Tribolium castaneum: one gene and its partner. The protein of the gene in region 1 binds, or shares a complex with, the protein of each later gene. Links are inferred from orthologs where the notes say so. Each region holds a gene or a part of one and is shown on either strand. Other genes may lie near its edges.

Region 1 (4,520 bases):
TAGGTTAAATCATTACCTCACAGATTTGTTCTTATTTCGCTTTAAATATTTGTGACCAAGTTTTAACGGGTTAAACAGCTTAATAATTTTAATGCTTTATGGAAAAAGTTAAAGTTGAAATGGCTTGAAAAAATACAGTACCATAAATAAGTCATGTACAACACTCCTAATAAAATTTATCAAAAAATTATGTACCATTTTTTAATAAAAAAAAAATGACCAAAAAATGGGCTTTTTCATTTTATTTTTTAATGACATAGAAGTTTTTTTTTCAAATTCATATACAACGTTGGGCAAAAGTATGGAACCAAGCATTTTATGCTTAAACTATGTACCTTACGAAAAAACTAATTATTAAGTCATCGACTACTTTAAAAATGTGATAATTTTTTAAGAATAAAATTTTTTGAAATTTCTTTTAGTCTACGTGTTATTAATTTTTTTTTCAAATGGCTTCCTCCTATGGCGATTTTTTTGGTAAAAGATTATGTTCTAAAAATAACTTCTACTTTAAAAAAATTAATTTTAAGCCATGTTTTTTTTTTCATAAATTATTATTATTATTTGAACTTAATTTTTTTATAGAAAAATAAACAAATCACGTTTCTAACCGTTTTAAACTCGGGAATGATTCAACGTTAGAACAACACCCAGTTGTAATGAAACTATTTTGTGCAATACTTTTCATAAAAATTCAATTTCAAATTTTGCGTTCAGTTCCACTTCAGACCTCCTTAATATAGTTCAGTGGCGCAGCAAGGGAGATTGTTGGGGGTTGAGAACATAATCATGCAAAATAATTTAAGTTGCAGTAATAAAACAAAACTTTCCAGACAATCATTGTAGACATTCGATTTTTTCTACTTCCGAAAATTCCGAGAAAAGCAACCCACAAAATCCATATTTTCGTTATATTTCAGAAAAATCTTCGGAGAGGTTTTTTGTAAAATAAATGCTACATTTCTGATACCATGGTAGAAATAACTTTTTGAGTAATGACGTTATTTTTTATGAAAACCGACATTTTTAACAGATTACTGTTTTTGATAGTAGGTACACTCCCTTATCTTTCTGGTAATAATAAAAAAATAAAAAAAAATAATATTATCTACACAAAACAAAAAATACCAATATTATTTACCGATTATTTTGCATATATTTTTGAAAATAATTAAAATAGAAACACTTAAACAAAAATATTAAAACAATTACCACCTATAAAATAAGGCAGGAAACAGACAGATAAAGCTTTTTGTGTGAAATTCTTAATAATTTTTGTAGCTACAAAATGTGAGCTATACAACAAATAACCTTGAATTTAAGACAATTTTTTTTACATTATTTTTGCCCCGAACAACATTTCCGAAAAAACATTCAGCAACATATTTATTTTTAGTTAATTTTAAGTGCTACAAGGAACTAAAATAATCATATGCAGGTAAAGAGCTCATTTTTCATTTCTGCGTCGTTATTAGTTTACTAATGAAAAACATATTTTTACGAAGGTAAACCCCCATAAACTCTATCTCTGGCTGCGCCACTGGTATAGTTGTTCAACCTTCAATTGAAGAGTACAGGGGAAAAACAGGAAATAACTACTTTTCAAGAATTTGAACTAATAATGTCATGTAGTTTTTACTATTTTTTTAGCTCAAGTTATAGCCCTCCATAGTCAAAATTAAAACTAATTAACTAAAAAAAGTTGTTTTTCTTTGAATGACGTTCGTCATTTTTCCCTTATACTTATCAATTTAAAAATTACTTAGTAATGGCCTCCAAATACTGGCGACTGTTTGCGTTTTCCTGCCTTGTGACCACCTCAGGATGTAGGGTAAAGTCGGGTGCGAAAAACTCCAAATATTCGGTGTAGGGCAATTCATTTGAAATTTGTTCATCCACAAGTAACGAAGTTTCGTAAGTCCAACACCTCGCGACATTTCTCAGCGTATAACCGCCACCTCCAACCACCAAAGTTGGAACATTCAGACTCTTGACGAACTTAACACACTCCCCGTGCCCTTTGGTACTCAGGGAGAAACACCCCAGGCGGTCGTTGGCCAAGGAATCGGCCCCACATTGTAGTACAATTGCAGTGGGTTGGAAAAATTCCATCACGCTTGAAATGACCGGCTTAAAAACCATCCAATAGCTGGAATCGTCGATTCCTTCCTTCAGCGGCACGTTGACGGAGTAATAACGGCCACTTTCCGCCCCCACTTCGTACATATCGCCCGTGCCCGGGAAGAAATAATTGCCGTATTTGTGGAAACTGACCGTCATGACCCGATCAGTGAGATAGAAGGCTTCCTGGACGCCGTCTCCGTGATGCACGTCGATGTCAATGTATAAAACCCTCGCGTGGTACTTGAGCAATTCTAAAATCCCAATCACAATATCGTTAACGTAGCAGAAACCACTGGCTTCGAATTTCTTGGCGTGGTGGAGCCCCCCTGACCAATTAACAGCAATGTCGCAGTGGTTATTGTTCAGTTTCATGGCCCCCTCGAGCGACGCCCCCGTGTACATGGAGCAGAAGTCAAACAGCCCCCAGAAGACCGGGCAATCGTCCCCCACGTTATAGTGACTCAGATGCTTGGTGAACGCTTGGATGTTCTGCGGCGTGACTTTTTGCAGAAAATCTACAAGTGTGGGGGTTAAGGCAAGTGAAATTACCGTGGTGGCTTTACCGATGTATTCGTCCGAGTGGAAGCGACACATGTCGTGGGCGCTGGCCTTGTAAGGCCGGTAAATCTGCATGTGCTTGTGCAGCCCGTAATTTAACACTAAGCTGTGGATCACAGACAGGCGGTGGGGCTTCATGGGGTGCCCCGTCCCGTAGTGGAAGTTCCCCACGTCAGGGTTGAAGAAGTAAGACACTCGGTGCTTCGACATCACGCCGATAGCTCCTTCCACACGTACAAAAAATACAAAAACAAAACTATAACAACAAGGCGTTTCGTCAGCCAAAACCTATCCTCCGGCATGCTTCCGGATAGCCCCCATTGTGGTTTCTGATAAAACAGCCCCCAAACAAACGTGACGTTTCTGCGCCTCACTACCAACCGAACGACGCAAAAACACCCATTAAGAAATGGTGTTGTCGTAAAGATTATTATCATTAATTACAGAACATATTTCACAAATAAAACTCTGGACGCAATGTTGTTTTTGAGAATAAAGACGAAATTTGCCCATTTGAGTCTGTTTTAAGCGTTTTATCCCCCGATTTTCGTCGAGACTTTGTCACCAACTCCAAAACCAAAATCCCCAAGTTTGAAAATGGGCATCAAAGACCTGTGGACGCTTCTGGCCCCTTTCGGGGAGCGTAAGCCCCTCTACGAGCTGCAGGGCAAGACCGTGGCCATCGACTTGTCGTGCTGGGTGTGCGAGTCGCAAAACGTGACCGAATACACGGTGCAACCCCGCATGTACTTGAGGTTAGGTGACTGACACCGGTTCAAAATTTTGATTTTTTTTTCCAGAAATTTGTATTTCCGCACTTGTTACTTGCTCCTAATGGACGTAAATGTGGTGTTTGTGCTCGAGGGGCGCGCCCCCGAGCTCAAATACAAGACGATCGCCGCCCGCAATGCCCTGCAGTTCAAAGGGGCGAAGCCCAAAAATGGGGCCAAGACCAAGGACAGGTCGAGGTTTAATCACACGTTGAAACGGTGCGAGGAGATGTTGAGTTTGTTGGGGCTTGCGTGTGTGACTGGGGAGGGCGAGGCCGAGGCTTTGTGCGCACAATTGAATGAAACTGGGGTAAAAACATATTTTTTTTTCTAAGGTTCAAGGGGTTGTTTTAGCTCGTCGATGGGATTATTAGTCAGGATTCGGATTGTTTCGCGTATGGGGCACGTGTCGTTTATCGCAATTTTTCCATCTCGCAGCAGGGCAATCAGGCGGCCAAAGGGGGCTCTGTGGACGTTTATGACATCAGTGTGGCCAATGAGCGACTGAGTGAGTCCCCGAATTGCGAATGATTGTTTGATTTTTTTATTTTATTATTATTTTTTTCTGATCAATCCATCAATTTATTATCCAAATATACAATACAGGAATTATTTCGACAATTTTTAAAATATCTGGGAACCTACCAGAAAGATTACTTTAATTACACTTACAATTTTTTTGGTACATCAGAAAAATATTTATCAAAATAATTGGCTAATTTTTCACTGTTGCTAATTTATAAATTACCCACTTTAATAGGGATATTCTCAAAAAATCTGCTACAGCCTATAACTCTTTACATTTCATAGCTAAGAGAGCTAAGAAATAAATTTCTTAAAGATCGTCGAAAGTATGGATGAACAATTTATTTTGTATAAACTTTCGTAGTAAGTAATTAGTAGAAAATTAACAACTGGAAAAACAACACTAGGGCAATAGGACAATTTGAGGAGGAAAAAAAATTGCCTCCTCAAGAAGAGGGAAAAAGTAATGGGTTTCTGTAAGGTTTACATTTAGCTCCGTTAGAGTAAATTTCAGAAAAATTCCCGTTCCTAACACAGAGAGAT
Region 2 (3,289 bases), on another chromosome or scaffold:
CAAACGTTAAATATAAGCCACAGAATGTCAGACGAAGTAACTTTTGACTACGTTAGAAGCCTAAAAGACAACAGACAGGTTCTTCTAATTGATGTGAGGAACCCGTCGGAATTAGCGCAAACTGGAACAATTCCTGGAAGCATCAATATACCTTGTAAATACCCTAATTAACTTATGAATTAACTGCAAAGTACTTCATTTCAAGTGGCCACTTTAGAAGAAACGCTGCAGAACACAAGTGATGAACAATTTCGTCAAGTTTTCCGAAGAGAAAAGCCTACAAACACCACGCCTTTAGTTTTCAGTTGTCAGTCGGGGCGGCGGAGCCGAGCTGCGCTAGATTTAGCCAAAAATCTGGGATACGTAAAGTAAAACATTCGTTTTGTTCCGTCTTTAATTAAAGTCGCCTGTGATTTTTAAATTTAGTTGGCAACTAGATGTTGCCAACTTAATTCGAAATCATAGGCCACTTTGACCCGAAATTTAAGTTCAATTTTCAGCGCCAAACATTTCCCTGGGGGATGGACCGGTTGGGTACAACAATGTAAAACAAATTAAGTAATAAAAAAACTTTATTTATACGTAATAAACACTCAATTCTACGAAATTAATTTTTCTTTTCGGCCAGTTTGGAGTTGACCATTTCCCTGAACTGTCCCAAAATCCTGTTCTCCCTCTTCTGCCGTTCTTCTTTGCTGAACATGGCCAAAGCCCGCTTCTCATCAGCTGAATAAATCTGGTTTTCTTTCCGTATCCTCACAGCCTCCATTCTCCTGTGTCTTGAGCCGGACATGACATAACCCACGGCTTCAAAACTTTCAATTTCTTCAGACGTGAGTCCAATTTCACCTCTTCTTGGTATCCGTTTTCCTTCGGCGACGTACGCAGCCATGGCAGCCCCCTCACCAGGGAGCAAAGCCTTGCCCATTTCCTTGTGAGTCAGGGCGGCATGGGGCTTCAAAATGGGGCCGACGATCACCTCTTCGGTCTCTTCCGCATTGGTTTGGGGTTTGTTGGTGGTTGTGGTCTTCTCGACCCACTCTTCCTCCCCTGAACTGCTCTCACTTGAAGACTTCTTCTTTTTCTTCTTCTTTTTATGCTTCTTGTGGGATTTTTTCTTTTCCTTCTTCCGTTTTTTTAGCTTGGGGGCGTTCTTGGTGACGTCTTCGACGTCACTGTCGGAGTCTTCGGGTTCGGGGGATTGGCCCCAAATGCTGGGGTAATCCCTCATTCCGAGGATCTCACGCTCCTGGCGTCGGGACTCCATGAACTCGTCCTCAAGGTGTTTTTTCTTTGTGACTTCATATTTGTCGTTTCGTTCAAAACCGTTTGTTGTGGTGCCTCTGGATCTAGACCTGCGTCTGCTGGAATGGCGGTCTCTTGACCTGGAATGAGACCTGGACCTGTGTCTCCTATTACGATCATTTTTAAACGATCTATCAGTTTTGTGTCTCCGGTGGTCCGGGGAACGGGACCGACTGCGTCTGTGTTTTGCCACATCCATCATTTCGTAAAAAATCAATTTTTTTACAATAACATAACCTTTAAAAAAAACTGTCAAACTGAAGTCACTTTACGTCATTCCCATAAGCTAGAATTGACATTTGCTCAAACCATTTCAAATTTTAAGGAAATAAATAAAACACAAAATGCGTCGATTTGCTAATTTTTATTCATACAACGATACTACAATTGTAACTGATTAAAATTCGGGTTTGGTGCAAGCCATGGCCCCGCACCGATTCCTGCAGCACTTTTTAGCCCCCCTGCAGTCCGAGTCTAGGGCACACCTGCTGGAGCACACCCAAGGGCCTGACGGTGCAACTGGACAAGACCCTTGTTTCTCTAAAACACAAATTAATTTTCTTTAAAAAAAATTGTATCCATTTCACCTCCTCTTTGAATTCGCCTCGTTGTTACAGGGGCCGTACAAAAAGTGCCGCCACAAGCCGTCCGGCAGCATTTGAAATGGCCGGCACAGTGGTTGTCTTCGAAACAGGCCACTTCACAGATCCCCACGTTGGGGTACGGGGGGCAGTCTCCCGATTTTGTTCGAGGCCTTTGGCCGTACACAAAAACAGTTAGAAGGGAAAGGATTAAGAAAAGTTTTGCCTGCATTGTTAACACTTGTAGGGCTTTAAGATGAATGGAATTGGATGTTGTGTAGGTGCAAGAGTCGAAGAAACGGAAACCACAAAACGACAAATTGAAATTTTGATTAAGTGTGCGGATTTAGGGCGGATGTGGGGTTCCACTGCGGTTTGCGCAATTTAGTAATTGGTTGAAATCTACAAAAATAGAAAAAATGTATTAAAAATTACCCATTTTTATTATACTTGTATTAATTTACTACTGTTTTTTTCTTCAATTCCTGCTGCTAAACAAAATTAGGTCAAAAATTTTAGTTTTTTGAGCGTTTCATCGCGTTTTCAGTCAGAAAAGCGTCTGCTGTGAGTAAAGTTTTATCAGAGAAGTCACACTATTTCAATCGTTATACAGTTTCACGTTTAAGACTGTAAACAGATTGAACCAAAAGTATAACAACAAAATTCACATTTAGTTTAAAAACAAGCCACCTTAAATATCTTAGTAAAAAAAAACAAAAAAAATAAAATTTTTGAGACAGGTCAATTTTTATTTAAAAAGAAACATTTAAAAAATCTCTTATATTTATTTATATTTATATTTATATTTGATTTAGTTATTTTTTTATCTTACTCAATATAATAAAATGGTCGATTGGTAAATTTTTTCTTATTTGAATTTTTCAAAAAATTTATTAATACGTGTATTATACACGTAATCAATAACAAACAAAAATTTCGAAAAAAACAATTTTTGAAAACGCTTGGTTCTATACTTCCGCCAACGCTGTATAAAAAATGCAAGGTATGATTATAAATTATAAAACGACCGAAAAAAATTGTTTTTATTACTATATTATTTAGATAAAAAAAATTTAAATGCATATTTTTTTCTTTTTCTTTTTAACGCCATTTCTTAAAATTGTTTTTTATTCTTTGATCCACTTTAATCGTTCCTTGACTCAGAAAGCAACTCAACCTCGAACTTTTGGAAGGAAACTAGTATTGCAAACAGCTAATCAAAAATCAAAGACAACAGTTACTATAATTGTGCGTTTAAAGCCCCGTTTCTCGTACTATTAAACCTCAGTTAAACCTCCGTTATTATTTTACCAGAAACTAGACCTAACCATTTTTTTACTGCTTCTTCTAGCTACTCAAAATTTTTAACCATAAAGAAGAACAAAATTCGGGGCAAAAAAAAC

What was found.
Region 2: HDAC3 (region 1) and NKAP family protein CG6066 share a complex: the UniProt entries of both Homo sapiens proteins name them as parts of the notch corepressor complex. The link is inferred for Tribolium castaneum from reciprocal best matches to the Homo sapiens genes HDAC3 and NKAP.

Annotation. Positions count from the first base shown.
Region 1 is NC_087401.1:11,246,515-11,251,034, forward strand, and holds the start of HDAC3 (histone deacetylase 3), read right to left. Parts: upstream 3,055-4,520; 5' UTR 2,893-3,054; coding exon 2,688-2,892; intron 2,640-2,687; coding exon 1,763-2,639; intron 1-1,762. Other genes in the region: flap endonuclease GEN, read left to right, coding at 3,280-3,437, 3,483-3,762, 3,807-3,960. UniProt on the Homo sapiens protein: Histone deacetylase that catalyzes the deacetylation of lysine residues on the N-terminal part of the core histones (H2A, H2B, H3 and H4), and some other non-histone substrates.
Region 2 is NC_087400.1:4,954,092-4,957,380, forward strand, and holds NKAP family protein CG6066, read right to left. Parts: upstream 1,600-3,289; 5' UTR 1,508-1,599; coding exon 608-1,507; 3' UTR 555-607; downstream 1-554. Other genes in the region: waprin-Rha1, read right to left, coding at 1,703-1,845, 1,893-2,118. UniProt on the Homo sapiens protein: Acts as a transcriptional repressor. Plays a role as a transcriptional corepressor of the Notch-mediated signaling required for T-cell development. Also involved in the TNF and IL-1 induced NF-kappa-B activation.